Sus scrofa: one gene and its partners. The protein of the gene in region 5 interacts with the protein of the main gene of each other region in a biochemical or structural test. Links are inferred from orthologs where the notes say so. Each region holds a gene or a part of one and is shown on either strand. Other genes may lie near its edges.

Region 1 (4,202 bases), on a different chromosome or scaffold from region 5:
ATTCTGTACGTATTGTTTTACCACCTTTTCATGTTCTGTCTTGCAGTTGGTTTGCTGCTGTTTACAAGACACTTGAGAACAGGAGCTCTTCCAGCCTTATTTTCCACCATAGGACCTATTTCGGTTATTAGGAGTATTTGTAGCTTTCCAAAGAGACCATGGTCTTGCACACATTTGTTCTCCGCCACTTTCCAAAAAAAAAACCCAAAATCCTGAGAACTCCTTTCCTCTTTTCCAGGGAACTCCAAAGTGTTGCTTAGGGAGAAGGTTCAAAATTCAGTTGAAATGCCACCTCTCTCAGGGTTTCCCTAGTGGTCCAGTGGTTAAGACTCGGCCCTTTCGCTGATGCTGCTGGGGTTTAGTCTCTGGTCTGAGAACTGAGACCCCGCAGCAAACCACTGCAAAAGGAAAAGAAAAAAAATGCCACCCTTCTAAAGTTTTCTGTAGCTATTGCCTAGGAGGGATAAGGCAAGAAACAGAGGAACATGGCTCCCAAACTCTACTGTTGGATAAGCACTTGTAGAATTTAATCATGATAACCTGAAAAGGGCTTATTGCCCCCTTTTAACAGATGATGAACTTGAGGCTGGGGGAGCTTTGGTGATTGTCCAAGGACCTGGCTGGGAGGCTAGCAATGCCAAGAGGGAGCTGGAGGGAGTTCTTGCCTTCAGATACAAGAGGCTGCCTCCCATTTGGGTTCAGTGGCAATAATCTGCAACTATAATATAGGAAGTCAACTTGGTAAGCATTAGCTGTTCAAGAGATCTGGCAGTTAGCAGTTGCTCATTAAGTATCTGTTGCATGAACAAATCATGAGAATTCAGTAAACACTGCAGTCAACTCCGTGGAGGATGAGGGAGCTGGGACACTGATTGGTAAAACACAGAGCTGTCATCTCATCTTTCTGATGCTGAAAGGGGGGATTCGAGATGTCAGTGCCTCACAGCTAGTTCATAACAGAGGTAAGACTAGAAAGAATTTATTTTTTTTCTCAACAAATGTTGACCACCTGCTATGGGAGAGTGATAGATTCTGAGGAGACAATGTTGTCAAGGAGGGGGACAAGCTTTCCAATCCCCTCTACAGAACGCTAAAATAAAAAGAAGAAAAAAAGGGGGAAAAAAGCACTGCAGGAAACTATAGTGGGTACAGACTTGCGTAAAATTATGTAAAGAAAGAACTGGGAGAGCTTGGTCGATAAAGTGCAAGATGGAAGGGAAAGGGACCGTTTCTCCGCCGAGCCACACGGGGGCGCTGTACCCCTCCTCGAGTCCCGGGCTCCGGCGGCACCGCCTGCTAACCTTTTCCCGGCGGAAATGCCCGGGCGATGACGGAAACCCAGAGGGAGGGGAAAGAAAGAGCGAGAGAGAAGGGGCAAGGGAATCCAGAGCAGCGGGCGGGCGGGAGGCGGCGGCGGCGGCAAGTGGCCATAATCCGGCGGGAGCTGCGCGGAAGTCCCGCACCTCCCCGCGCCCTCCAGTGACGCCCAGGGCGCGCGGCCCGGCGGGCCAGGGCGGGCGGGGGTCTCCCGAAGGCCGCGCGCCAGGAGCCGCCCGCGGGGCTCGGGCGGGGCGCGGGGTCCGGGGCCGCGCTCCCCCACTCCTTCCTCTCCCACTGGGAGCTGGCGGCGGCGGGCGAGGGGAGCGGCGCGAGGGGCGAGGGCGGGCGGGGAGGGGGGCGGGAGACGGCGGGGGAGGGGCTCGGGTCGCCATGGACGACAAGGCGTTCACCAAGGAGCTGGACCAGTGGGTCGAGCAGCTGAACGAGTGTAAACAGCTTAATGAGAACCAAGTGCGGACCCTATGCGAAAAGGTAAGAGAGAAAATTGGCGAGATGCGGCCGGCGTGCGACAGGCTGGGTGGGGGCTGGGACCTATCCTCTCCCCTCTCCCTCCTCTCCCCTCCCCCCTCCTTCCCCTCCCCCTTTCTCCTCCCCCCCTCCCCCCCACCTCTTCTCCTGGCCTGCTTGTCCCTTGTCCGGCGCGTCCGTCTGGGACCTGCGGGGCTGCGTCTCCCACTCGGGCAGCCTCCCCCGGGAGGAGCCGGGCTGTTCCTGGACCCCCTGGAGACCCAGCACCCGGCTGGGGTTGGAAGCTCCCAGTCCTGGCCTAAGGGGTCCGGGGTAGGTGGGCGGGGGCAACGTGGCACCCGGAATCCACTCCTGGAGTGATTGGGGCGCCGACTGTTTTCTGGGTTTTGCTGACACTCCAGTATTTCCGTGCGGACTAGCAATCCGCGCTTTAGCTGGCTGGCAGGGTAATCTAGGCAATCTCGTAGTTGAAAATGAACCTGGACGTTGTGAATCTCAAGGCCCTTGATATAATAAACGTAGCCGTTTTCTCAGGTGACTCGGTCCTTCAGAAATCATCGAGTTGAAATGTATCAAGCATTTGTTTATAGAGAGGTGGGTGTGATGGCGGACTGTGATTTTTAAAATAGAAGTTGACTTTGGTTGAGACAGATGGTGACTGGTCTTCTTCAATTGAGAAGCTCTCTGGAAGCAAAAATGTTGATTTTCAGAAACAGGACGGCTAGTCTTAAGTTTGGCAACACTGCTTGCATGAAATGATCAATGGGTACGTGTTTTACGTGCAGGGTAACACTTTTCAGAAAGTTATTTCTATTACATATTTAAGTTGTTTTTTTCCAAAAAGTAGTAAAATATGCAGGCAATTAACTGTTTACAGTCGCTGTTGATTGTGTGATTTTAGGCCACTTTCTGAGTCCTATATTCGTTGTTTTCTTAACCTCGAATTATTTCAGATTTTACAGTTTATTTTTCTCATTCCACCTTTTTTTTGGCCTAAATAATATTAATACATTTTTATGTAAAAAGGTTCATATGAAGGAGTAACAAAGTTATTTATTCTTTAATGCTTTTGATTGGTTTGTATTTTTAAGCCATGACCCATAAGACTTTCTTGATCATTGTGTTTGTAAGCCGGGATGCCTCCGAAAAGCATTGAAGAAGGAAAGATTTTGTCAATGTTGTTTATAGCACACCCTTAAAATTAAGCATCTTAGGAATGGAGGAGTAATAGCTGTTTTGTTGTTGTTGTTTTCCTTTTTATGGCCGCATCCAAGCATATAGAAGTTCCCTGGGCCAGGGGTTAAATCTAAACTGTAGCTGTGGAGTTAAATCCTTTAACACATTGAGTGGGCCAGAGATCAAACCTGGACCTCTGCAAAGACCTGAGCTGCTGCTGTCAGATTCTTAACCCACTGCACCATTGTGGGAACTCCCAAGAATAGTGTTTTTAGTTACATGTATTGTTGCTTAGGGTCTACATACATATGTAACTTTTTAGAATTGAGGTATAGTTAATTTACAATGTTGTGTTAGTTTCAGGTATACAGCAGTCACTCAGTTACACACATATATGTGTATTCTTTTTCAGATTTTTTTTCCATTATAGGCTATTACAAAAATATTGAATAAAGTTCCCTGAGCTGTACAGCACATTTTTGTTTTTACCTGTTTTATATATAGTCGTGTGTTTGTGTGCTCATCCCAAACTCCTAACTTACCTCTTCACCCCCTTCCCCCGCTATCCTCTTTAGTAACTATAAGTTTGTTTTCTGTATCTGTGAGTCTGTTAAATAACTATTTGTTAACACAGGAGTGTATTTCTGTAAATAGAACTGCCAAGCAAATGGTATTTTTGTTTCCCTGAAACAGGCTGTTTACTTACCACTTCAAGTTCCACATTCAGTTTTCTTGTGTGATAACCTGTAATTTCATGTCTTAGAATTTACATTTTAATTCACGCTCTCTTAGGCTCCAGTGTCAGGTGAAACATTCAGTTCTGAAATTAGCTGAGTCAGTTCACCTCACTGTGAACAGTAGATAAAGACTTGAAGTTATGGACAAAGTTGGCAGTTGAATCAGTTTTTCCCTTTAATTCTCTAATAAATTTAAGATGTCTTCTGGAGAAGAATATTCTACCCCTCAACCACACTTGAATCCTAATCACTTGAGGAAGCTTTCTGTGTTTGTCCAGAGAGATTATTTTAACTTTAGCTCCTGAATTGAACTACCAATCCCTAGGACCTTTGAGATATATCTAACCTTATGTCTTACTTTTTTTCTTTGAATATTTGTACTTGCCCACTAAGCATGAATTTTTAAGTGAAAATTCCCAGTCATTTGTCTTGGTCCTCCACCACCTTGATGGATTGCCAGTGGACTGGAGAAGTGTGACG
Region 2 (4,336 bases), about 16 Mb from region 5:
GTGCCTTTGGAAAGTCTGGGAAGTCGGGTACCCAGCTAGGCCTGGTGGCACAGGTGGCCGTAGGCATGGATTGCGTTTGGGTGACAGAGGTTCCCCCCCAGGTGAGCTGGGCAGCGGCTTTACCTGTCTAGCCCAACGCAGATGTGAACACCAGCTGAAGGGCTCTTGGGGCACCTGGTCCCGCCCCCCCATCGGCAGACACCTGCCCAGGTCCAGCCAAGCATACTGGGACCCTGACAAGGCCCCAGACTCGGTCTGCCCGGCACCACTGCCACCCCTCTTGGCCAGTGCTCTCTCTTCCCTGTGGCTCTTTTGATGTTTAATTCCGTGCTGAGCAATCCCGAAAGCTTCCAAAGTACCTGGTTCCCTCTGGGCATAACCAAAGCACTGGTGGCAGCAGGTGTGACCAAGACCCTGCCAGCAGTGACAGGACTTCAAGACCAGCCTCCTGGGGAAAAGGGCGCGCCCTGGAGCCGACTGGACCCACAGCCCCAGAGTTACTGAGGCCTAGGAAACCCACTCCAGGCGTGGCCGTTTCCTAGTATCATAAACAGAGAAGAGGGTGCCCCGCTCAAGTCTAGGGGGAAGGTGATGATTCAGGTAGCCCCTGCCTCAGTTTCCATACAACACTCAAAAGTAATTAAAATGGAGCAAAACTCCACCACCTCCCCCGCGGACGAGGAGGGGGTGGCCCCAAACGCAGAGAGGAGCCGCCGCCTGGGGACAATCGGGTCTGCGGTTTGAGGCGCAGGATGCGTTGGTTGGGTGTGGTAGGACGGGGCCTGTCTCTGCACAATCAGGGACCCCCGGCGCCCCGACACCGGCGGAGGGGCCTTGGCGGTGGTGGCTGCGCTAGGAAACGGGCGGCTCCTTCTCGTCGTGAGAAGGGCGAGGTCACGGCTCCCCGGGACTCCCCCGGACCGCCGGGCCCACAGTGCCGCCACGGCGACCGGCGGCGACCACCGCCCTCTCCCCTCCCCCACGCCCCCAGCTCAGCACCGAGAAGCCGCCTCGCGGCCCGAGCTCCCTGCAGAGCCTCGGGGAGGAAACTCGCAGGGGGCGCGCGGGGAGCGAAGCCCCCCTGCGGGGGCGGGGCGCGGGAACACACCCTGCTCCCGGTGCCGCCCAGCCCCGGGCCAGGCAGTTTCGGGGTGCAGCCGGGCCCTCCCCCAGGGTGCGCGACAGTCCCGGGGCGGAGCCGGCGGGTCAGCTCTGCGGCCCACCCTGCGACCCCGGGGGCGGTGGGGGGGGGAATCGCCAGCCCGGCCCGCTAGCCTGCCCCGCGCGGGGTCTCGCGCGCGGGGTCGCGGGCGCGCGGGGGCGGCGCGGGCGGGGCGGTTGGGGGCGGTGCGGGAGGGGGCGGGACCGGGCGCGGGGCCCCACGTGCCCCGGCCGGCCGGGCCAATGGGCGCCCGGCGTTCGGAAAGATCGCCATATATGGACATGTTCTGGGGCCGCGCGCGCCGCCGGGCCGCGCGCGCCCCCCGCTCCGCTTAAATAGGGGCGGGGGAGGCCGCGGTCGGTCTCGCTCGCCGCAGCCGGCCCGCGCTCCGTGTCTTCTCGCCGCTCCTCCGCTCGCTCCTCCGCGCCCCGCGGCCGCCGTCTCCGCCGGTAGGTGACCAGGCCTGCGCAGCTCCGGCCCGGTGTCCGGCTCTCGCGCTCCTCCGCAGGCCCGGCCCCGGCCCCAGAGGCCCGGCTTCACCGCCGCTGGCAACAAAAGGGGCGGCCGGGCGGGCCCCCGGGGTCCGCAGTGGGGGCGCCCTCGGGGGCGGGAGCTGGGTGGGGTCCGGCCGCACTGCCGAGCGCTCTGGGCCGCGCCGCCGCGGAACGGCGGCGGGCGGGGGGGTTACATAAAAGGCGGCCCCGGTTCCGGGCGGTTTCTCCGCTGCCGGGCCGGGGGGAGGCGGAGCGTCTCGCGGGCAGGGCCTTTGCAGGGGCCGTCCCGGCGCCGCTGGGCGCGCCTGAGCCGCTCGTGCCTTTGAGCAGATCGCCATGGAAGAAGAGATCGCCGCGCTGGTCATCGACAATGGCTCCGGCATGTGCAAAGCTGGCTTTGCTGGGGATGACGCCCCCCGGGCCGTGTTCCCGTCCATCGTCGGGCGTCCCCGACACCAGGGTGTCATGGTGGGCATGGGCCAGAAGGACAGCTACGTGGGCGACGAGGCTCAGAGCAAGCGGGGCATCCTGACCCTCAAGTACCCCATCGAACACGGCATCGTCACCAACTGGGACGACATGGAGAAGATCTGGCATCACACCTTCTACAACGAGCTGCGCGTGGCCCCCGAGGAGCACCCCGTGCTGCTCACGGAGGCCCCCCTGAACCCCAAGGCCAACCGTGAGAAGATGACTCAGGTAGGCGCTGCCGGGTGCAGTGGGCCGTTTCCATCCGTTTCATGAGTCGTTTAGTGCTGAGCTTTTGGGTTTTTTTTCCTGAAATTCAAGTGTTTCTTTCGATATTTTCAGGGTTCTGTTCTTCTCCTGGCATTTCCTTCCTGAAGTCTCAAGGTTTCTCGTTTGTGTTTCTGCCTGCTTCCTTTTCTTTTCTCCACACATCACATCACGTTTGTGGCATGTCGGCATGGTGTGTAGCATGGGGTGGCCCGGGGTCCCTTCTCTGACTAAGGAGCCGTTGCCTTTCCCAGATCATGTTCGAGACCTTCAACACGCCGGCCATGTACGTGGCCATCCAGGCCGTGCTGTCCCTGTACGCCTCTGGCCGCACCACTGGCATTGTCATGGACTCTGGGGATGGGGTCACCCACACGGTGCCCATCTACGAGGGGTACGCCCTGCCCCACGCCATCCTGCGTCTGGACCTGGCTGGCCGGGACCTGACCGACTACCTCATGAAGATCCTCACGGAGCGGGGCTACAGCTTCACCACCACGGCCGAGCGGGAGATCGTGCGGGACATCAAGGAGAAGCTCTGCTACGTCGCCCTGGACTTCGAGCAGGAGATGGCCACCGCCGCGTCCTCCTCCTCCCTGGAGAAGAGCTACGAGCTGCCCGACGGCCAGGTCATCACCATCGGCAACGAGCGCTTCCGGTGTCCAGAGGCGCTCTTCCAGCCCTCCTTCTTGGGTAGGTGTCGGGCAGCGCGGCCTGCCTGGGGGGGGCCCGGGGGCTCATCCCCTTGCACGGGGGACCGCTAAGGGGGCGCTCTGTCGGCCTCTCAGGCATGGAGTCCTGCGGCATCCACGAGACCACCTTCAACTCGATCATGAAGTGCGACGTGGACATCAGGAAGGACCTCTACGCCAACACGGTGCTGTCTGGCGGGACCACCATGTACCCCGGCATCGCCGACAGGATGCAGAAGGAGATCACGGCCCTGGCGCCCAGCACCATGAAGATCAAGGTGAGTCGGGTGGCCGTGGGGTCGGCAGGCGGCCTTGCTGGGACCCAGGGCTTGGCTGCCGGAGACTGAAGTCCCGCCCTTGTCTCCCCAGATCATCGCGCCTCCCGAGCGCAAGTACTCGGTGTGGATCGGGGGCTCCATCCTGGCCTCGCTGTCCACCTTCCAGCAGATGTGGATCAGCAAGCAGGAGTACGACGAGTCGGGCCCGTCCATCGTCCACCGCAAATGCTTCTAGACGGACTGCGAGCAGATGCGTAGCATTTGCTGCATGAGCTAATCCAGAAATAAAGTTTGCCCTGGCAAATGTACACACCTCATGCCAGCCTCCTGAAACTGGAATAAGCCTTTGAAAAGAAATTTGTCCTTGAAGCTTGTATCTGGTATCAGCACTGGATTGTAGACCTTGTTGCTGATTTTGACCTTGTACTCGAGTTAACTCTTCCCTTGGTCTCTGTTTAATACCCTGTGCATATCTTTGATTTAAACCCCTAGTTACACACACGCGGCTCTGTCACCTCGTGGCTGAGGTGAGAACCTGTTTATCGTGGAAGAGAAATCCGTTGGCTGGTTGAGAATCTGAGACGGAGTCTCTCCGATCTGTGCAGGGTATTCATGTGTCCGAGCTCCTATTCCAGGATTTCTCTCGAGGCTGGCAAGAGTCCTGAACCAGTTGTCATTTCTGTCTTGCCGGTCTGACGGGGTTGGGAAGGTCCGAGCCTTAGGACCCACTGTCCTTTCTTCCCCGATGTTTGCCCGCCAGAAAACCGTGGGTTGTTAACTTGCCTTGAGTTGGAAGCGTTTGCATTCACACCTGTAAATTTATTCATCCTTTTAATTTATGTAAGGTTTTTGTACGCAATTCTCAATTCCTTAAGAGATGACAACAGATTTTGGTTTTCTACTGTCACGTGAGAACGTTAGGCCCCAGCAACGCGTCATTGTGAGGAAATAAAGTGCTGCAGTAAACCCTTCGCC
Region 3 (3,628 bases), on a different chromosome or scaffold from region 5:
GCTTGCCTTCCGGCCTGGCAGGCGCTCCTCCTTCAGTTCCGCCTCCCCTGTGCTGGTTGGGCTGCGCTTGGGGTGCAGGGGTGCGGGAGACGGACCACCTGGTAGAGGAAGGCGACAGTTATGGCTGGCATGACCTGGAAAAGCCAGAACCTACTCTGGGAAATCCTTGGGATCTTAGAACTCCTTATCGCCTACATCTGTGTAGGCCATTCTGACAATATCTGTCAATGTGACACAGACATGTGTGAAAGTGACCCAGAGGTGCCACATAAATCACATGATGCACATATGTTACTCACTGCATGCTTCTTTTTTTTTTTTTAAAGCCAAAAGACTGGGAACAACCTAGATGCCCCTTTATATGGGGAAACTAAGTCAGTCAAGATACTGCCACACAATGGAATACTATGCAGCTATAAAGAAGGTCCCAACACCAAATGATCTTCAAGACAGACTGAAGTAGAAGAGGCAAGGCAAGGTATAACATCTACAGTGGGATGTCGTGTAGAAAAGGGGGGAAAGTGGGGAGTTCCCATTGTGACTGGCAGGTTAAGAACCTGACTAGTATCCATGAGGACGCAGGTTTGATCCCTGGCCTCGCTCAGTGGGTTAAGGATCTGGTGTTGCCACAAGCTGTGGCACAGGTCGCAGATGTGGCTCGAATCTGGCGTTGCTATGGCTGTGGTGTAGACCAGCAGCTACAGCTCCAATTCGACCCCTAGCCTGGGAACCTCCATATGCTGTAAATGTGGCCCTAGAAAGAAAAAAAAAAAGGGGTGTTTGTGTCTCTAACTCTATATTTGTTTATAAACAAATGTTGCCAAGCGGCTCTCATTTCTATTAAAAGGGGATAATATTTCTTGATAGTATAAGTATATTAAATATTGTATTATACATCTTCGTTCATTTTTTCTATCTTTCTCCTCCTTTTCATACCTGTCTCTTTATATATTTACATATGAGTAAAACTTCTCCAAAGGAATTCATATAAAGCCGGTAACAGTGGCTGCCTCCGAGGAGAACTGAGGGCTGGGAGATACGAGTAGGACAAAGACTTTTTTCTTTGTTTTCTTTTGTTTTTTGGCTGCACCATGGCATGAAGGAGTTCCTAGGCCAGGGATCAAACCTGTGCCACAGCAGTGACAATGCTGGATCCTTCACCTGCTGAGCCACTAGGGAACTCCAAGACTTTTTAGCTATTTACCTTTCCTGTGCTATCAAGTTTTGAAGGAAGTGACTGTATTAGTTTCAAAAACAGAGCAAAACCAGATTGGTTCCTTAGGCCATCTTGGGAATGTATGGTTTTAGAACCAAGGGAGTTAAATATGTCCTAGAACCCCAGACCGTTAGGACTTCTGCATGGGAAAGCCTCAAGAAACTTAATGCTCAAAAGTCCCAGAACTGGAGGAGCTCCCTGGCGGCTCAGTGGGTTAAGGATCTGATGTTGTCACTGCTGTGGAATAGGCTGCTACTGTGGCAAGGGTTCAATCCCTGACCCTTCTGCATGTTGTGGGCATGGTCCAAAAAAAAAAAAAAAGTCCCCAAATCATAAAAAACTCTACAATGATGGACACAGGGGGCCCATCAACCATCCTTCACACAGAGAATCTCAGAATCCAGGGTTTTTTTTTTTTTTTTTTTTTTTTTTTGGTCTTTTGTCTTTTTAGGGCCGCGCCCATGGCATACGGAGGCTCCCAGGCTAGGGGTCCAATCGGAGCTGTTGCTGCCAGCCTACACCACAGCCACGCAGGATCTGAGCCCTGTCTGCAACCTACACCACAGCTCACGGCAATGCCGGATCCTTAACCCACGGAGCGAGGCCAAGGATTGAATCTGCAACCTCATGGTTCCTAGTCAGATTTGTTTCTGCTGTGCCATGATGGGAACTCCCCATGTGGGGTTTTTGAAAGGTTACCATGTTCTAACCATAGGATGTTGGAGTCACAAACTTCTTAGGGACTTTCTGGACCAATCTTGCTATTTTATACGTGGGAAAAAGGAGGCCCAGGGGAGAGGGTGGCCTGACCATCCAGAACCAACCTTTTTCGGTTCAGGACTGATACCAAGCTTCCCTGAGTCCCCTCTCCCAGTGCTAGTGCCTGGTCCAGAGTAAAGAACACCCCTGGAGAGAGGCGGGGCTACAAAAATAACAGAAAGTTGGAAATTGCCTTGGCAGTTCCTTACTGTGAAACATAGAGTTTACCAGATGACCCAGCAATTCCAGTCCTAAGTAAGGCCCAAGAGAAATAGAAACACAGATCCCCACGAACAACGTGTACATGAGTGTTCACCGCAGTGTTATTCACAACAGCCAAAGGCCGAAACAACTCAAATGCCCTTCGGTGGGTAAACAAAATGCGGTGTATCCGCGCGATGGATATTCAATAAGAAAAAGGAACTACGTGCTGATCCTGCTAAACGTGGATCAACCTGAAAATAAAATCCTAAGTGAAAGAAGGCAGACAAAAACATTCGGAACTGGGAAATCTAGAGACAGAAAATAGATCAGTAGTGGGCTGGGGGTTGGGACGGGTGGGGATCTAAGTAAAAGGTCAAAGGCTGAAGGTTGTAGAGTATTTTCTGGGGTACTGACAATATTCTAAAGCTGACTGTGGTGACGGCTGCACGACTCTTGATACACCAGCACCGCTGAACGGCACACTCTCAGTGATGAATTGTTTGGTGTGTGAATTATATCTCAATAAAGCTATTTAAAAGTATTAGGAGGGTTCCCATTTGATGAGGGCCTCGGTAAGAGATCTCTTAGAAGTTCCCGGGTCCCACTTGCAGTGGATCTACTTTCTGTAGGATATGAGATATCGGTTAGTTGCAGAATGGGGGGTACAATCAGGTGTCTGCCCAGCCCCTTCCCACTAGGAAGTGTGGAGGACAGGCCAGAGGGCAGGCTCTCAGCAGCCGTTTTGTACAAATACGTGTCCTCTTGTGTCCTAGTCAAATGGATTAATACCAACTGGACCCTGATAGCAAGTGGACCAGGAAGATCTCAGTTACGAATTGAGCTGGTCTCTAAAACGAGTCGTAAGGGCCTGGGAAGGAGATACGGTGAGTTACGTAAGAAAGAAAGCAACCGGACAAGCCGAGAAGCCAGACACAGAGTGTCCGCTCCGCATTCATCTGCTTTTCCAGCCATGACGGGAACTCCGGCTTTTCCAGTTTCTAACGCATTCCTGAGCCCGGGTGCCCCAAGTTTCATACACTATCCCTGCACCTTTACAGAACATTCCTCCCTTCGCTGCAGGTGGCCTGAGCAGGTCTCTGTGCCTTGCTGCCCAGAGAATCCTGACGGTCTGAGGCCTCGGGCCCAGGGACGGCAGGTGAGCGCGTGGGGACCATACTCACAGAAGTCGCTGTGCCTGCGCTGGCGGTGGTAGGTGGAGGAGGAGCTCCGCTGCCCTTTGCTGTGGCTGGTGCCTTTGCTGGAGCTTGTTCCATTGGTGGTGTCGCTGGGCGCCCGCACCCGTGCCAGGGCCAGCCCCGGGGCGCCCCGGTCCCCACCCTCCTGCATGAAGATGACAGACAAGGAACCTCAGCCCCGACCCCTCTGGCCCAGAAGTCCCTCCACCCTGGGCATCGCGCGTCCCGCAGGTCCCTGACGCCTTCTGACCTC
Region 4 (4,274 bases), on a different chromosome or scaffold from region 5:
CCTTGATCGTATATAAAGTCTAAGGAGTTTTAACAAATGCATAGTCACATAACCTCCTCCATCATCATGATAGAGGACATTCCTACCAGTCTCAAAAATTCTCTTTGAACTGCTGGAATTTTATATGAACTCTTTAGAAGAACCACAAAGAGCTATCGATGTTGGAGATTAAATAAAATATCCCCTTGCATCTTGATCTACTTAACGTATTTCTCCACAATGAATATTTCATTTTCTCTCAATCATAAGGCCCAGTCATTTGGTTGTGCTGCATTTTCTTTCGGAAATCTCAAAGCATTTAGCTGACAGGATTTCATTGTTATTCCCCAAAATACCTGGTCCAGCTCTAAAGACTGATGGATGCCCCAATTCAATGAAATCAATGCCTCTCTTCCCCACTTAAGCTGTATGTTTCTCTCCTTGATGTAGACTGTCATATAAACATGTTAACAGTGTTAGGTCTGCTGTTTTCAATGAGTTGGCTGTGATCAGGTAGACTTGGTGTCTTTCCCTTACGTATTGATTTCATTCCTCTGTAGTGACATTGAAAAAGCTCTACAACCTGGGACACTTGCTACATTTGGATTTGATTTAATGGATATGTGGAATGACACAGCAAACAAGTAAATGGCTAAATAAATGAATGCGTGAATGAATGAGTGCGCGACTGCCTCTATTTCATGGATGAGGCACCGTCTGAGAGGCACTGTGAGGTCAGGCAACTGGCAGAAAGCCACACACAGATGTCATAGCAGTGCCCAATCAGAAGCCAAGATTATTTTCTTTGCTTTCTCTCTTTAGCTATCAACTCTGTTACAACCCCCCCCCATAAAATACCAACAAAATAAAAATGGAAAAACAGACCACACACAAATTACATGGCTTTTTAAAATGGATTTAATGTGCAAAGAGTAACATGAGTAAAAATTTGGAGGGGTAGATTTTTCACTTGATAGACAAAATGCTTTCCTCTCTTACTCACTGGGAATCCTTCCTCTTCATTAAATGCATTCAGGAATACTTTTTTGGTAATACTCTTTGTGGTTTTTGCATAAAACACTTTGTATATATGTTCATTGTGTCCTTTTTAAAGCAGGCTTCTGTAGTGGAAAACACACACACAATTACGTTCACAGTTGCCCAGTATATTGTGACAAGTAGGAAGAGGATGCTAGAAAGGTTGTACATAGTGAGAGACCATCTATTGTTACACCTACACTTGCACTTTATTTCCTTTTTCTCTACATTTGGCCAGATCAGGAATGCATCTGATTAAATTTCCATTGAGAGGCTTTTTTCCCCCAGGAATCCATATCAACAGAATTTCAATGAGCCTAAAATAAAAAACATCCTGCATTTCACATGAAAGTCTGATGTAAATGGTCCTAACAACAAAAAGAAAAGAAAAGCAAACGATTAAAGTAACCCTTCTAAGGGGAGTCAACTGCTTTTCAGTGTGTCCGGAGCTGGTGCCCTCTCTCCATCAGCTGCTCAGATATTCATGAATCGCTGCGTCTTCCAGCGCCGCTTTCTCTCTCCCTCTGCTTTTCTGGCGCGGCTCTCCCGCTCTCCCTCCCTCCCTCCCTCTGGCTTCTGCTCTTTCTTACTCCTTCTCTCAGCTGCTTAACTACAGCTCCCACTGGAACTTGCACAATCAAAAACAGCTCTCCTCTCCAGCAGCCTCCAGAAACGCATCACCTGGAGCAGAGCGACTCTCCCAGCGCGCCCGCCGCAGAACCGCCAGGTAGCTGGGGGCGCGCAGGGGGTGCCCTTCTCCCAGTTGGCAGCAGCTGGAGCCTCTCCCCGGAATCCGCTGCATCCCGGGGTCCTGCAGCCGTGATGCCTGCGTGTCGGAGCAATGATGGAAAGAGAAAAGCCACTGCCCTTGGCAACTGAGAGTGGGGAGAGGTTGCTGCAGTAGCCGGTGCTGCAGAATGTGTGAGTGAAAACCTGAGCCCCGCTAGATTCTCCATCCCGCTCCGTCTTCGTTAACTATCTCCAGGAGGCAAACCGGGAACCAGATGCACTGACCAGGCGGGGGCCACCCTGGATTTATAACTGTGAACTCCCCACTGTGGAAAATGGTAAACAAAGACATGAATGGATTCCCAGTCAAGAAATGCTCAGCCTTCCAATTTTTTAAGAAGCGGGTAAGGACAGGTTTTGTTTGTTTCTTTTGTTTTCTGCTCTTGTCTGAAATGCATTTGATTGCCTGCTGGAGGTAAAGCCTAAGGTTTTGTTGCAGAACCTTGAATGGAAGCCGCGTCTCTGGTAGCCTCTGTCCAGCTGGGAAATGTACCTGCCTTGATGCAAATCTGTAGGTGGGGGTGCCTGAGGAGACTGGCTTTGGGAGAAGGGGGTTGGGCTGGGATGTCTTAAGGAGGGTTTGAGCTGGGAATGGGCATTTCTCAATCAAAGCCACAAGGCTGCAAGCAGTTTCAAAAAGAATTGGCCTGGGTACAGTTATGGCTAGGAATTTAGTCAAGGACTAATTCAGCAGTGTGCGCTGGCTGTGTCTTATCTCTGAAGGCTTCAACTTTTCTCACACCTTTCATTCACTCAGTCTCAAGTGCTGCATTATCATCTTCCTTCCTCAGAAGCAGCAGTTTCTGGCTTCCCAAATCCATCCAGCCAATAACTTGCTGAGTCTCTATCTTTGGTAAAAATAGCAAAGGACTAGAATGACCTTTTACAGAAATGATGGAATCCAGCATTTTAAATCCTCTTTCAAGTTGCCTTAATTTTACTTGGTAGGACCATCTTTCTTTTCGTCGGCAGTCTGAATTCAAGTGATAATACAGGGTTAGGCAGCTGTATACTTTTATTTCTTAAATTCCCTGTTCTTCCCTGTAAGAGGTTTAACCTTACATTGCTTGTAAATGAGCAAAAGGAAAAAAAGGAGGGGAATCTGTTTTGTGTGTTTCACAAGAAACTTGGTTCATTGTAATGGTCACACGGGAGATCTGCGTAAATCTGCAAATTTGTACACAAGTGGGAGGTAAGAAATGAATCATTGTTAAGTAACTGATGACTGACACTTTTATGGAGAGTTTCTTCAGCAAAAGACGTGTCCTCCAGCCCCTCGCTGCCCCAGCCCACTTAATACCCAGGGCAATTCCATCAAAATGGCTCTTTTCATTCATTCTTCTGTCCCTTCATTCAGGTCCTTTCTGTGTCATTCCTGAAACAGAGCCCTTCCTTAAGCCACCAGCAGAAAACATTGAATTACACTCTGGGCTAGACTACCTCTGGTGCCTTTACCTAGTGGGCAAGCTGGGAAGGCAAGGCTGGAAACGGCATGTCAAGCCCAGCCAGAGGGCGGGCACGGGTTCTTACACGCCTGTAACTGAGTTCTCACCAGTAAAGCAAAATCTTCCTGAAAGTCCATGGGCCAAAACATATGCATTAAAACCAAAGCGAAACCCACCCTGTCCTGGCCACTGCTCCTGGGAGCCTCATCACCGGGCAAGGTCTCTCACTAGAGGAGACTTAAGCTGAATCAAAGCAAGTCAACTTCTCAAGACTACCATCTTTCTTCACTTTCCCTGTAGCCAAGATATTTCCTTCCCTGTAGCCAAGATATTTCTTCCCAAACAAATGTTTTGCTGATAATAAAATGCTGTGGCCCATAATCCAGTATTTAAACTCTACTCTCTTAATTGATGGGAGAAGGGAAGGGGTGAGGGTGACATTGGAAATCTCCTCAGATATCTTTAATCAATCAAGTAGCTGTCAAGTAGATTTCTTTTTTTTTTTTTTTTTTTTTTTAGTTTTTCTTATTTTCTTTGTTATCGAAATCTAAAAACCGTGTTAGTTTGCTATCTGGTTTCTTTTTGCTTAACAGCATAATTTACAAATCATCTTCAGCCGGTGCCTCTGGAGGTTTTGGATTTTGCAAAGAACTAGCCAGGGCACTGATGTCTAATCTGAGTACTTTCAGAGAGAAAGAACAAGATACCTGGTGTGCTGCTTTATATCTGCCCTAGACCCTGGGTCTTCCACTTGCTGGGTTCTGATCAGAATGCCCCCTCCTGTTGTCCTTACTTCTTAAGGTCAGAAACTAAGCAGAAAGTGAATTTGTGCCAAGTCATAGATGACCGCAAAGGATAAAGCCCTTTTTTTTTTGCCCATAAGTTTGCTTTTCCAAAAGTTCCTTTCAGTTTTTATGTGACTTTGCTTTTTGTTCTGTTTTGTTAGGTCTGGGTTTTTAATTACACTGCTAATATGTAAATAAATGTGTCAAGCATTAAGGTAACACCCATGTAAATCCCATC
Region 5 (2,944 bases):
CGCCAGGAGCTCCCTCTTTTTTTTTTTTTTTTTTTTTTTTTGATACTGAGCTTGTGAACTGTTTGTATATTTTGGAACCAGCTCTACTTTAAAAAGGACTTTGTTGCATCATGTTTTCTTGGGCACCTGCCAGTGCCGCCCACAGCTGCTGCCACCTCCTGTGTCATGTCACTGGCAAAGGGGAGGAATGTGTGTGGCTCCAAGCTGGGTGGCAGGGGCCCTGGGCACATCCCTGAGTCTTCTTCAGCCTCCCCTTCAACATTTCTTTCTTTTTTTTTTTTTTGCTTTTTAGTGCTGCACTTGCGGCATATGGAGGTTCCCAAGCTAGGGGTCTAATCGGAGCTGTTGCTGCCAGCCTACACCACAGCCACAGGAATGCCAGATCCGAACGGCGTCTGCGACCTACACCATAGCTCACGGCAACGCCGGATCCTCAACCCACTGAGCAAGGCCAGGGATTGAACCTGCGTCCTCATGGATGCTAGTCAGATTTGTTAACCACTGAGCCATGATGGGAACTCCTCAACATTTTCATTTGTAATTTGGCAAGGTGTGTGCATTAAGAAAATATGCGTGCCTTTGGACCCACTAGCAATTCCACTTCTAGGATACACTTAAGAGTATGTGTGAAATGATGTACCTACAAGGTTATTCAAGGTTACTCATACACAGCATTGTCTGGGAGAGCAGGAGACTGGGACAACCTCAGTTAACTACCCACAGGGGACTAGATACATTTTGGCACATCTGCTACGATGGGAAACCACACAGCCCTCCGCAGGGTCAACCAGCTGAGGGAGCTGTTACCTGGGATGGAAAGTGCAAAGCACGTGGGTGTTGTTACCATATGGATTATAGGTGGTTTTTTTCTCTTTCCTCTCTGTACTCACACACACGTTTGCATGTGTGGCCTCTCTGGAAGGGGACCCAAGACACTCACACTGGTCATGCCTCTGGAGTGGGCACCTGGGCGGCTGGCTGGCGAGTGACCAGCACCCTGGACCCGTGTTGGCTGTTGGGAAATGATGAAATCATGGTCGCCACCTGGGCTGCCTCCCACCCACGGTCCCCAGCTCCCCTCCTCACCTTCCCCCCGCTCCTCTCTTGCAGATCGAAACCCACAAGCTGACCTTCCGCGAGAACGCCAAAGCCAAGACGGACCACGGGGCGGAGATTGTGTACAAGTCGCCCGTGGTGTCAGGGGACACGTCCCCCAGGCATCTCAGCAATGTCTCCTCTACCGGCAGCATCGACATGGTGGACTCCCCGCAGCTCGCCACGCTCGCCGACGAGGTGTCCGCCTCCCTGGCCAAGCAGGGTTTGTGATCAGGGCCCCGGGGCGGTCAGTAATCGTAGAGAGAGGAGAGTGAGAGTGTGGAAAAAAAAAAAGAATAATGATCTGGCCCTTCGCCCTCTGCCCTCCCCCAGCTGCTCCTCACAGATCGGTTAATCGGTTAATCACTTAACCTGCATTGTCACTCAGCTCTGGCTTGGGACTTCCAAATCAGTGACGGGAATAAGAGCGGATTTCATCTTTCCAAATTGATGGGTGGGCCAGTCATAATAAAATATTTTTAAAAACATTTAAAAAGATGGCCACACCCAGAATTTCCCTGGGCAATTACTTTTTGATTTTTTTTACCCCCCTCTGAGTGGAAGAGGGAGGGGGAGAGGCTCTGAAAGCTGCTTCTGGGGACTCATGAGGGCCTAGGGACACCTCTCCTGGGGCCCGTCCTGGGTGGGGGGTTTCAGAGGTGGCAAGGGACTGGAAACTTGGTGCACTGGTGGAGCACAGGCACAGGGCGACCTTTGGAGCAGGATGGGGTGGGGGCTTGCAGGGCCGGGAGAGGCTGCGGAGGGGACTGTGCCAGGGGGAGGGTGTGAGAGGAAGGGCACAGGGGAGGAGGTGGCTTGGTGTCTGCCATGGTGGGCGTGCCACCCTCTGGAGGGCAGCCTGGAGGTGGAGGGCTCTGAGCCCCGCCCCCACGCCTTTGAAGGGACAGTGGGCCGGAGGGTGGCATCCTGTGAATGACTTCCTCCAAGACCACTGGCTCCATGTCCCCAGTGGTGGCCTCTTCCTCCCTCCCTGCAGGATGGGGGTCCTGAGCTGAGGGGCTCCCTCCGCCCCAGGAAGCCCTGTTTTATTGAGTTCTGAAGGTTGGAACCACAGCCACGATTCTGGCCACCTCACAGATCTGGGACCTTAGGGCTAACCAGTTCTCTTTGTAAGGACTTGTGCCTCTTGGGGGACGTCCGCCTGTTCCCAGGCTTGGGCCTGTGGCATCTCTGGAGTGTGCGGGGTCTGGGAGGGGGGTCCTGAGCCTCTCACCCCTCCCACGCCCACTGCAGCAGCCACCTGTCTGCCCTGCCTGTGTGTCTGCTGTGCGGAGCCCAGTCACTGCCTGTTCCCCTCATTATGTCACTGTCCCGAGTTCCCAGCCTCCCCCCCCACTTCAGTAATGGACGTGGTTAGATGGGGAGGCATCTCCGCATCGAGGGGGAAAGTCAAGGAGGGCGAGGTTTGGACACTGGGTGGGGGCCCTCAGTCTTCTGTTCGAAGCATCCCGCTGGCACGTCCCTCACAGTGACCCTTGATGACCTTACTCGGTTCCCTGCCCCCACCCCAGACGTGAGCCAGGGTGGGGTTCGCAATGACTCGTTGACTTGGTGAGCCTTTCCTCCCAGAAGCCTGGCCCCCCTCCCGTGCTGAGCTAGCAGCGGGTCGGCTGCCCTGGATGCCAGAGATGGCGCTGGGACAGGTAGGCAAGGCCCTCAGGGCCAGGCCGGGCTTCCTCCATCCCCACTTCTGCCTCAGCTTGTGACTGCCAGCCTCTGAGAGCCCGGCCGCTGCTCTACCCCCCATGTATATAGTCAGCCCTCCACACCCCAAAAAGGGAAACGTGCCCCCTCGGAAATGGTTCTTTCCCATCCCAGCTGGAAGTGA
Region 6 (3,628 bases), about 16 Mb from region 5:
CCTCACCCCTACCTCACACACGGGTGAGTGTCCTGGCGCCCCAGCATGCGCCGCCACCCGCTTTGCCGGCGGCCGGCCCTCCGGCTCGCGTGTCGGTTGCTCCGGCCGCGCCAGCGTGTGACCTTGTAGGTCCCCGTCCCCGTCGGTTGTTATCCCGAGGTGCCCGGGCGGCTGGTAGTGTCTGTTGGCGGGTGCTGGCCTCCTGAAGGGCTGCGTCCCCCCCCGGGAGCTCCGCGTTGTCGTCTCGCTCGTCTCGAGACTTGAGTCCTCCCCACCACCTACCCCTCCGTTCTCTTCCTCGCCCGTCGCCTCGGCCGCCCTCCCGCTGGACGCCTGGCTCCCAGGAGTCAGCTGGGTGCTGCCAGGGCCCCGACGCAGGGCCGGCCCAGAGTCCGGGTGCAACAGCGCTCCCAGCCCGACGCCGGCGCAGCCGTGGCCGCGGGTCCTCGTGAGACACGGCTCCCGAGGAGAGGCCCTCGCGGAGTGTGGGGCCGCGTCCTGAGGCCTCACGCTGCCCTGTCTCCCTCTCCTCCAGCGAACACCTCTCCTCGGCCCGTGTCCGGCATGGAAAGAGAGCGGAAAGTGAGTATGCGGCTGCACCGCGGGGCCCCCGTCAACATCTCCTCGTCCGACCTCACGGGCCGGCAAGATACCTCCCGCATGTCCACCTCACAGGTACGCGCCCGGCCGCCACCGGGCCCTGCGCTCCGCAGCCGCGTTGCGCGCCGGTCCTGCGGCCCCCGCAGTGGGCGACGGCCTCGGAGGCTTCCTGCTTTCCATCCTTCTCGCTCTCCCTCTTCGGAGCGTCTGAACTGCCGGGGACCTCGTGTCCCTCGCTACCGTGGGGCCCTCGGTTGAGGGCCCCAGGGACGAGCTCTGGGGCCAGGCTGCGCCCTGGCTGTGCTGGGACGCCCGCTGGCGCCTCTTCTCTTGCGCCGTCTTCCCTGGGCGGACGCCCCCAGCCTGTGGGCGCCTGGTGTTGCAGCGCGCCTGGCCCAGCCTTCGAGCCTCTGTCCTCGCTCTTGTCAGCCGGGCGCTCCACCCCCGCGGAGAGCCCTTGTCGCCCGCCGGCAGTCACTGTAGGGCGTCCTAGGCGCCCGGCGCCATGTCTTCTCTAGCCACGCCCTGTGCCCACTCGCTCTGCTCGCTGTCCCTGCCCAGCAGCGCCACTCCTCGCCTGCGTGCTGGCAGGTCTTCTGCGCGTGGGTGGCAGGAGGCGGGCAGGGTGAAGAATGGTCCAGGTGGGCCTCTTCTCTGCTTCAGCCAGTGTCCCGTGGGGCCGGGGTCACCCCATGCTGTCTGCTGGGGGTAGCTTGTCGGTGAATTTGGCGGGTTGAGCGTGTTGATCTGGAGGCACAGGGCCTGTGCGAAGTGCCCAGAGCCTGGTTCTGCAGCGCCGGCTGGCCAGGCAAAGGGCGGGTGTGCCCAGCAGAGGAGGTGCCCCGACCACGTTTTCTTAACTGCGTGAAGTAAACAGGGCACCTGTCGCTTGCTGGCACTTCTACTGGAAACGGGCTGCTGTTCGCCCATTAAGCTTCTCTCTGGCTGGAGACGCAGCTGGTCGGAATCATGGGGCACAGAGGCTCTGGTCAGGGGTTCGAGATCGGCCCCATGCGGCTCCCGGCCCCCAGCCATCCTGCCTCCCTCGGGACACAGAAAGGGCCTCCGGGTGTGTTCCCACGAGCCCTGGAATGCACGCCTCAGTGGCCTGGCACGGGCCCAGAGCGCCTCGGCTGGGACGAAGGAGGGCAGGCCTCGCTTTGGCTTTAACACAAGGAAGGATCAGGAAGCGCCAGGGGTTCAGGGGCGCCAGCGCCTCGGGTCTGCGACCACCTCTGCCGCCGGCTCCTTGGGCTTTGCTGCCCAGTCTCCCCGTGAGGGCCTGCCTCTGCTCTCTGTTCTCTCTCTGCTTTCCTACCAAGACGTGTGCCGTGGCTCTGAGGATGGGGCGCCTCCACTTTGTCCCTCTTCCCCCCGGGGTCTCCTTAGGACCTCTGCGTTGAGGGCACAGCCCCAGTCCCCTCCATCCAGGACGGCTCTATCCCTTGGCACTCTTGCTGGCAGGCGCCGTTCCTGGCCGCCAAGGGCCTCCATGATCAGGGCTGTTCCAGGCTCGGTCTGGCTTCTTCCCCCAGAGATGCGAGCGGAGCAGGGGTGGTGACACAGGGGTGCAGGGTCGCAGTGGGCTGGGGTGGCCACTTCCCTAGCCGCCTCTGCCCCTTAGGGAGGAGGCCTGCTGATCTCAGCTGGGGGCGGGGGGACGTTGGCCTGTGTCCCTGGTCGTGGCTGGAGTGCCGCGGAGACGGCGGAGGGCTGCTGGCGGACGAGCCTGGCGGTGGCGTTTCTCTGAGAAGTGCCCCCTCCGTCCAGTGCTGTCGAGGGACACGATCCCGGCTCCTGGTGCCAGGGACTGACTTGTGCGAATCCCTGCCTCCCCTGCCCCCCCGAGGCCCGGAGCCCGGTCTTCTTCCCCGCGTCCAGCCCTCGCGCGCCTGGGCCTCGGGGAGCCGTGGGTGTGAGAGCCGATGGAGGGGCCGCCGTCGAGGGTCCCGTCCTCTTACAGCCTGAGCCCTGGGGGCGGGCTCCGTGTCGGCAGGTCCAGGGACCACTCTTGAGAGGCCGCTCCGCGGGGAGAGGCCCGGCCGGGGGCCTGGTTCGCGCAGGCAGCGCTGGTGCAGGAGGAAGGAGGAGGGGCCTCCGTGCTGGTCCCGCCGCGAACCCTCCCCAACAGCTGTCTTTTCCCCCCACCTCAGAATAGCATTCCTTTCGAACACCACGGCAAGTAGCTGCACGGCTCCCGTCGGAAGGCAGCGCTGGGTGAGTGTGCGCAGGCCGGGTGGGGGGCTTGCATGCCAGGAGCCGCCAGCGGGCGAGGCCCCTGGCCCAGGTCTTCTCCTCAGGCGGATTCCGGGGCAGCTGTCCGCTGGCCCTTGGCACCGGCGTGGGGCGCGGGAGCCCGGTGGTGGCTCCCGTGGCCCCGAAGGCTGGTGTGGACGTGCGTCCCGTCGTGCTGGCAGAGGGCCGCAGGGGGAGGGGGGCCCCTGCGCTCTCGCTGCGGGAGACACTCCTGGTCTCGGCTGTCCCGGCTTTGTCATCTCTCTTCCTTAGCGTTGACCTCTGTCGTCCTCGTTTGCTTTTCTTTGCGAGCTCGGTCTCTGCCCAGCACCTCGTCCACGCGCTCGTTTGCATTAACCCATCAGCCACAGCCGCCTGCTCCCTGCCGTCGGTGCATGGCTGGGCGTCCACGCTGCTCCTCTCGGCAGCGACTCTTGTGGCTCCTCCTGGCTCTGTCTGCTGGGCGCTGCTCTCTGGGGGCGTCTCGGTGGGGAGTGCTCGTAGGTCTTGCCCACCGGAGCCCCAGGGCCACCGGGGCCTGGGTCCTGTGTTCAGAGCAGCAGGCTCCTTTCCAGGAAGCGGCTGGGAGCAAGCGTCCCTTCTCCGCTCGGGCCCTGGTCTGATGACCGGCTCTCGGCCCCACGCCGCCGGGCTTCCTCGCCTGCATGGCTCTCCTTCCCTCCCCGTCTTCTGTCACTTTCTCTGCTGCACGTGTCCTGGCCTTAGAGGGACCTTCCGGAGCGGCTGGGGGTGCGCGTGCAGAGGGGCCAGGCGGTGTCTGTCCCCTGTGCCA
Region 7 (4,370 bases), on a different chromosome or scaffold from region 5:
CAAAATCACGATGCTGGGTCAGCACGCTTGTTCACCAAACCGGAATTCCAGACCAGGACCCGCACCGTGTTTAGGACAAATCCCCACGGGGTTCGAGCATGGGCTTGAGAATTCAGGACTTCAAGTGTCCCTTTCATCGTTTCCGCGGTGCACAGTGGGGTCCCCAAGTCCGTGCAGTGGCCTGCGACTGCCGTGTCTGTGGGGTTGGGGACTCTATGGCAATGAGGGAAGAGACCCTCGCTCCCTGTCCCACCTCAGCCTCACAACCAGCCACATGGAGACCGCGAAGCGCTGGGGCTCCCCTGTGCCCCCCATGCACATACGCTGGTCACCCCTCTTGACACACCTACACTCCACGATGGGGTGAGAACCCTGGGACTCCGCATAACTAGCTCTGCCTGGCATCTGCTGCCCCACTTCCTGTGCCCTGAACTTGTAATCGCTGCCTGGGGCCCCCAAACTCCCAACCTGCCTCTGAGCTCTAATCACCTCCACACGCCTATAAAGGTGGCGTCGGACCCAGACCCTTCAACCCTGCTTCGATCCCCTAAACCTGGCCCCTGGCCCCCAGTCGCGGGCGTGACGCCGAGGGACCCGAAGCTTCCACAACGTGGGGACATTCTTTAACAAGTGAAAAGTTTACTTTTCTGGACTTCCCAGAACCGCGGGCACGGGCCTCCATCCCCGGTCCGCACGCTCCGCGCCTGACTGGGGCGAGGGGCCGCCCGCGGCCTGCGCAGCCGCGCTCTCCGAGCCGGGGTCGGGGGCCCGGGGCGGGAGGGCGGGGGACGGGGCCCCCGGAAAGCGCGAGACTTTCGCGAGAGTTCCAAGCCACGCAGGCGCACTGCGGCCGGCGCGGGCGCGCGCGCCGCGGCCGCGGAGGACGGGGCGCGCGGGCGGGTCTCCGCGCGGGCCTGCGCGCGTCCGGGGAGAGGCGGGAGGCGGCCAGGGCGCAGGCGCGGGCGCGCGGCCGCGGCGGCGGTTGGGGAGGGTTCTTCCGGAAGGTTCGGGAGGCTTCTGGAAAAGGCGCCGCGCGCTGGGCGGGCCCGCCTCTATATAAGGCAGGCGCGGGGGCGGCGCGCCAGTTGCTTCTGCGTCCTGGTGCTGCGTCGCCGCGGAGCCCGTGCCGTCCTTCAGCCAAGGTGAGGGGGCGGTTGGGGGGCTTCGGGGGCGCCTGGGGGCCGGCGGGCGGGCCCCGAGTCCAGCCCCGGGGCGGCGGGGTGGCGGGGCCGGTGCGTCCGGGCGTCTCGCAGGCCGCGGGCCTGCCGCGGCCTCCCCTCCCCCCGCCGGCAGCGGGCGGGCCTGGGCCGCGGCGGGGCCGGGGCCGTGCGGAGGCGCGGGCCGGGATCCCTGGGCCCCCGAGGGAGGCGAGCCCCCGGCCCGGCGGGCGGGCGGGGGCGGCGGCGGCCGGCCGGGGGCCCCAGCAGCTCGGGCCGCCGTGCACACGCTCGGGGCCTGGGCCCGGAATGAGGTCATCCCTTTGTCAGCCGGCGGCCCCGGATCCCGCGGGGACGGCGGCGGCGGGCGCGCTGGAGCCGGCTCGGTGTCCCTTCCAGATGCCCGAGGAAACCCAGACCCAAGACCAGCCGATGGAGGAGGAGGAGGTGGAGACGTTCGCCTTCCAGGCGGAAATCGCCCAGTTGATGTCGTTGATCATCAACACTTTCTACTCGAACAAGGAGATCTTTCTGAGGGAGCTCATTTCCAACTCGTCCGATGTAAGTTGCCTTCGGGATTGGGCTTTGGTGTCGGTGTGAAATGCACCATTTTGGGGTTTCGGGCGTAATCATTTGCGGGTTTTGATAGGCTTTGGACAAGATCAGATACGAAAGCCTGACGGATCCCAGTAAACTAGACTCCGGAAAAGAGCTGCACATTAATCTCATTCCGAACAAGCAAGACCGGACCCTCACGATAGTGGACACCGGCATCGGAATGACCAAGGCCGACTTGATCAATAACCTTGGTACGATCGCCAAGTCTGGGACCAAGGCGTTCATGGAGGCTTTGCAGGCCGGTGCCGATATCTCCATGATTGGCCAGTTCGGTGTCGGCTTCTACTCTGCGTACCTGGTCGCTGAGAAAGTGACCGTTATCACCAAACACAACGATGACGAGCAGTATGCCTGGGAGTCTTCTGCAGGAGGATCTTTCACCGTTAGGACAGACACAGGTAGGCGTCGGTGGAGGGTGGGGTGCTGTAGACACTGGACCCCAGGAGATACTGTGCAATTTGTGTTAAAGATTAGAAAAAAAAACCGTTTTTGTTTCCCTGAACTGAGATAGCCTGACGTCGTGGTTATTTATCTCGGGCCTGGCCCTTAATTGCTCAGGGACTATTTTCTTCTGTAGTAATCTTGCTCGGGACAGTTCAGTGTTATCTGTGGCTTTGAGAGCCGAATGGGGGCTGCTTTAGTTTTGATTAGGGTCTTAAGATTGAAATTGAGTTTGTGTCTTGCCTTTTCAGGAGAACCTATGGGTCGTGGAACAAAGGTTATTCTACATCTGAAAGAAGACCAAACTGAGTACTTGGAAGAAAGGAGAATAAAGGAGATTGTGAAGAAACACTCTCAGTTTATTGGCTACCCCATTACTCTCTTCGTGAGTATTTGTGCATTTTCTTTGTAGACAGCCAAGTAAGTGAATTGAAATCCTTGCTTTTTAGGAAGAGATCCAAACTTGAGTATTGACTCAAGACTAGTGAAGCGCTCTCTCTTACTGTGTTGGGGTATCTAGGGTTATTTATGTGGCTTTATGAGGAATTGACCAGAAGCTTCCTGGCTCCTGAATGTTTCTCAGTTGGGTGACGAGGTTTTGGTGTCCATGCTGTAGTTCCTTTTAGCTTACTAGTTTTTTAATTTTGGGGGGGAAAAAGGTGATGATTTTGTGTTTCTTTTTAAGGTGGAGAAGGAACGTGATAAAGAAGTCAGTGACGACGAGGCGGAAGAAAAGGAAGACAAAGAGGAAGAAAAGGAGAAAGAAGAGAAGGAATCTGAGGATAAACCAGAGATAGAAGATGTTGGTTCTGATGAAGAGGAAGAAGAAAAGAAGGATGGTGACAAGAAGAAGAAGAAGAAGATCAAGGAGAAGTATATTGATCAAGAGGAACTCAACAAGACAAAGCCTATCTGGACCAGAAACCCCGATGACATCACTAATGAAGAGTACGGGGAGTTCTATAAGAGCTTGACCAATGACTGGGAGGATCACTTGGCTGTGAAGGTGGGTGATTGCTGAAGCTGGCGTCAGCAGGTTGTCTGCCCCAAATGGGTAAACGTGAGGGTACTTTCTGGCAGCTTTCTCTCCCTACCCCAGCCCGGCGTCCCCCCAAGTGCTTTGTGTGACCGCAGATGTGTAGCTGTCAGGTAGCCTCACTTGTCAGCAGGAGTTGCTTGTGGTATGTGTTGCTCACGGCTGTGTTTTATTGCAGCACTTTTCAGTCGAAGGGCAGTTGGAGTTCAGAGCCCTTCTTTTCGTCCCAAGACGCGCTCCTTTCGACTTATTTGAAAACAGAAAGAAGAAGAACAACATCAAGCTGTATGTTCGCAGAGTGTTCATCATGGACAACTGCGAGGAGCTCATCCCTGAGTATCTGAGTAAGTAGAGTTGAGCCTAAGAAACGACGGCTGTCAAATTCATCCTGTCAACCCCGTGCCACGCGCGCAAGTTCCTGGGCCAGGGGTCACACCCACGCCACAGCAGAGACCCGAGCTACTTCAGTGCGTTGCCAGATCGTTAACCCACTGTGCCACCAGAGACGGAATTCCAGACTTGGAAATGCATGGGGAAAACTGCGTTCTCTTTGGGTTTAGCTGTTTGTTGATTTTTGTCGGAGTGATTTTGAGTGCATTTGGCATGCTTTTCCAGATTTCATTAGAGGCGTGGTGGACTCTGAGGATCTTCCTCTGAACATTTCTCGTGAGATGTTGCAACAAAGCAAAATTTTGAAAGTCATCAGGAAGAATCTGGTCAAGAAATGCTTGGAGCTCTTTACTGAATTGGCCGAAGATAAAGAGAATTACAAGAAGTTCTATGAGCAGTTCTCTAAAAATATTAAGGTAGGTAATCGTGTGACAACAGCTGTAACCAAACTACTTCTCCTTTTCAATGAATTTGTTTTTAAGGCCAAGTTTTGTTGAAGCTACCATTGTTTGTTTCAGCTTGGAATACATGAAGATTCTCAAAATCGGAAGAAGCTTTCCGAGCTGTTGAGGTACTACACTTCTGCTTCTGGCGACGAGATGGTTTCCCTCAAGGACTATTGCACCAGAATGAAGGAGAACCAGAAACACATCTATTACATCACAGGTAAGGCGAGATGGGTGTAATCGTCATGCCTCTTGCTCTGGGATTCCATAGGAACAGCTGGG

Evidence for each region.
Region 1: of the proteins of MAPT (region 5) and PPP2CB, one has a biochemical effect on the other in vitro, tested with the Homo sapiens proteins (2 studies listed by BioGRID). The link is inferred for Sus scrofa from reciprocal best matches to the Homo sapiens genes MAPT and PPP2CB.
Region 2: the proteins of MAPT (region 5) and ACTG1 form a complex in vitro, tested with the Homo sapiens proteins (2 studies listed by BioGRID, with this or other methods). The link is inferred for Sus scrofa from reciprocal best matches to the Homo sapiens genes MAPT and ACTG1.
Region 3: of the proteins of MAPT (region 5) and MARK4, one has a biochemical effect on the other in vitro, tested with the Homo sapiens proteins (2 studies listed by BioGRID). The link is inferred for Sus scrofa from reciprocal best matches to the Homo sapiens genes MAPT and MARK4.
Region 4: of the proteins of MAPT (region 5) and SGK1, one has a biochemical effect on the other in vitro, tested with the Homo sapiens proteins (3 studies listed by BioGRID and IntAct). The link is inferred for Sus scrofa from reciprocal best matches to the Homo sapiens genes MAPT and SGK1.
Region 6: of the proteins of MAPT (region 5) and CSNK1D, one has a biochemical effect on the other in vitro, tested with the Homo sapiens proteins (4 studies listed by BioGRID). The link is inferred for Sus scrofa from reciprocal best matches to the Homo sapiens genes MAPT and CSNK1D.
Region 7: the proteins of MAPT (region 5) and HSP90AA1 form a complex in vitro, tested with the Homo sapiens proteins (3 studies listed by BioGRID, with this or other methods). The link is inferred for Sus scrofa from reciprocal best matches to the Homo sapiens genes MAPT and HSP90AA1.

What each region holds. Positions count from the first base shown.
Region 1 is NC_010457.5:54,294,449-54,298,650, forward strand, and holds the start of PPP2CB (serine/threonine-protein phosphatase 2A catalytic subunit beta isoform), read left to right. Parts: upstream 1-1,337; 5' UTR 1,338-1,710; coding exon 1,711-1,812; intron 1,813-4,202.
Region 2 is NC_010454.4:1,318,888-1,323,223, forward strand, and holds ACTG1 (actin, cytoplasmic 2), read left to right. Parts: upstream 1-1,467; 5' UTR 1,468-1,611; intron 1,612-1,986; 5' UTR 1,987-1,992; coding exon 1,993-2,355; intron 2,356-2,645; coding exon 2,646-3,084; intron 3,085-3,179; coding exon 3,180-3,361; intron 3,362-3,452; coding exon 3,453-3,596; 3' UTR 3,597-4,332; downstream 4,333-4,336. UniProt on the Homo sapiens protein: Actins are highly conserved proteins that are involved in various types of cell motility and are ubiquitously expressed in all eukaryotic cells.
Region 3 is NC_010448.4:51,686,314-51,689,941, reverse strand, and holds part of MARK4 (MAP/microtubule affinity-regulating kinase 4), read right to left. Parts: coding exon 3,626-3,628; intron 3,521-3,625; coding exon 3,361-3,520; intron 99-3,360; coding exon 1-98. UniProt on the Homo sapiens protein: Serine/threonine-protein kinase. Phosphorylates the microtubule-associated protein MAPT/TAU. Also phosphorylates the microtubule-associated proteins MAP2 and MAP4.
Region 4 is NC_010443.5:29,624,328-29,628,601, forward strand, and holds the start of SGK1 (serine/threonine-protein kinase Sgk1), read left to right. Parts: upstream 1-1,458; 5' UTR 1,459-2,081; coding exon 2,082-2,150; intron 2,151-4,274. UniProt on the Homo sapiens protein: Serine/threonine-protein kinase which is involved in the regulation of a wide variety of ion channels, membrane transporters, cellular enzymes, transcription factors, neuronal excitability, cell growth, proliferation, survival, migration and apoptosis.
Region 5 is NC_010454.4:17,100,451-17,103,394, reverse strand, and holds part of MAPT (microtubule-associated protein tau), read left to right. Parts: intron 1-1,110; coding exon 1,111-1,318; coding exon of another isoform or gene 1,319-1,326; exon of another isoform or gene 1,327-2,092; coding exon 2,093-2,106; 3' UTR 2,107-2,944. UniProt on the Homo sapiens protein: Promotes microtubule assembly and stability, and might be involved in the establishment and maintenance of neuronal polarity.
Region 6 is NC_010454.4:789,268-792,895, forward strand, and holds part of CSNK1D (casein kinase I), read left to right. Parts: coding exon 1-23; intron 24-535; coding exon 536-675; exon of another isoform or gene 676-2,753; coding exon of another isoform or gene 2,754-2,786; exon of another isoform or gene 2,787-2,817; intron 2,818-3,628. UniProt on the Homo sapiens protein: Essential serine/threonine-protein kinase that regulates diverse cellular growth and survival processes including Wnt signaling, DNA repair and circadian rhythms. It can phosphorylate a large number of proteins.
Region 7 is NW_018084979.1:919,164-923,533, reverse strand, and holds the start of HSP90AA1 (heat shock protein HSP 90-alpha), read left to right. Parts: upstream 1-1,556; coding exon 1,557-1,718; intron 1,719-1,806; coding exon 1,807-2,173; intron 2,174-2,467; coding exon 2,468-2,601; intron 2,602-2,901; coding exon 2,902-3,222; intron 3,223-3,430; coding exon 3,431-3,596; intron 3,597-3,867; coding exon 3,868-4,058; intron 4,059-4,160; coding exon 4,161-4,308; intron 4,309-4,370. UniProt on the Homo sapiens protein: Molecular chaperone that promotes the maturation, structural maintenance and proper regulation of specific target proteins involved for instance in cell cycle control and signal transduction.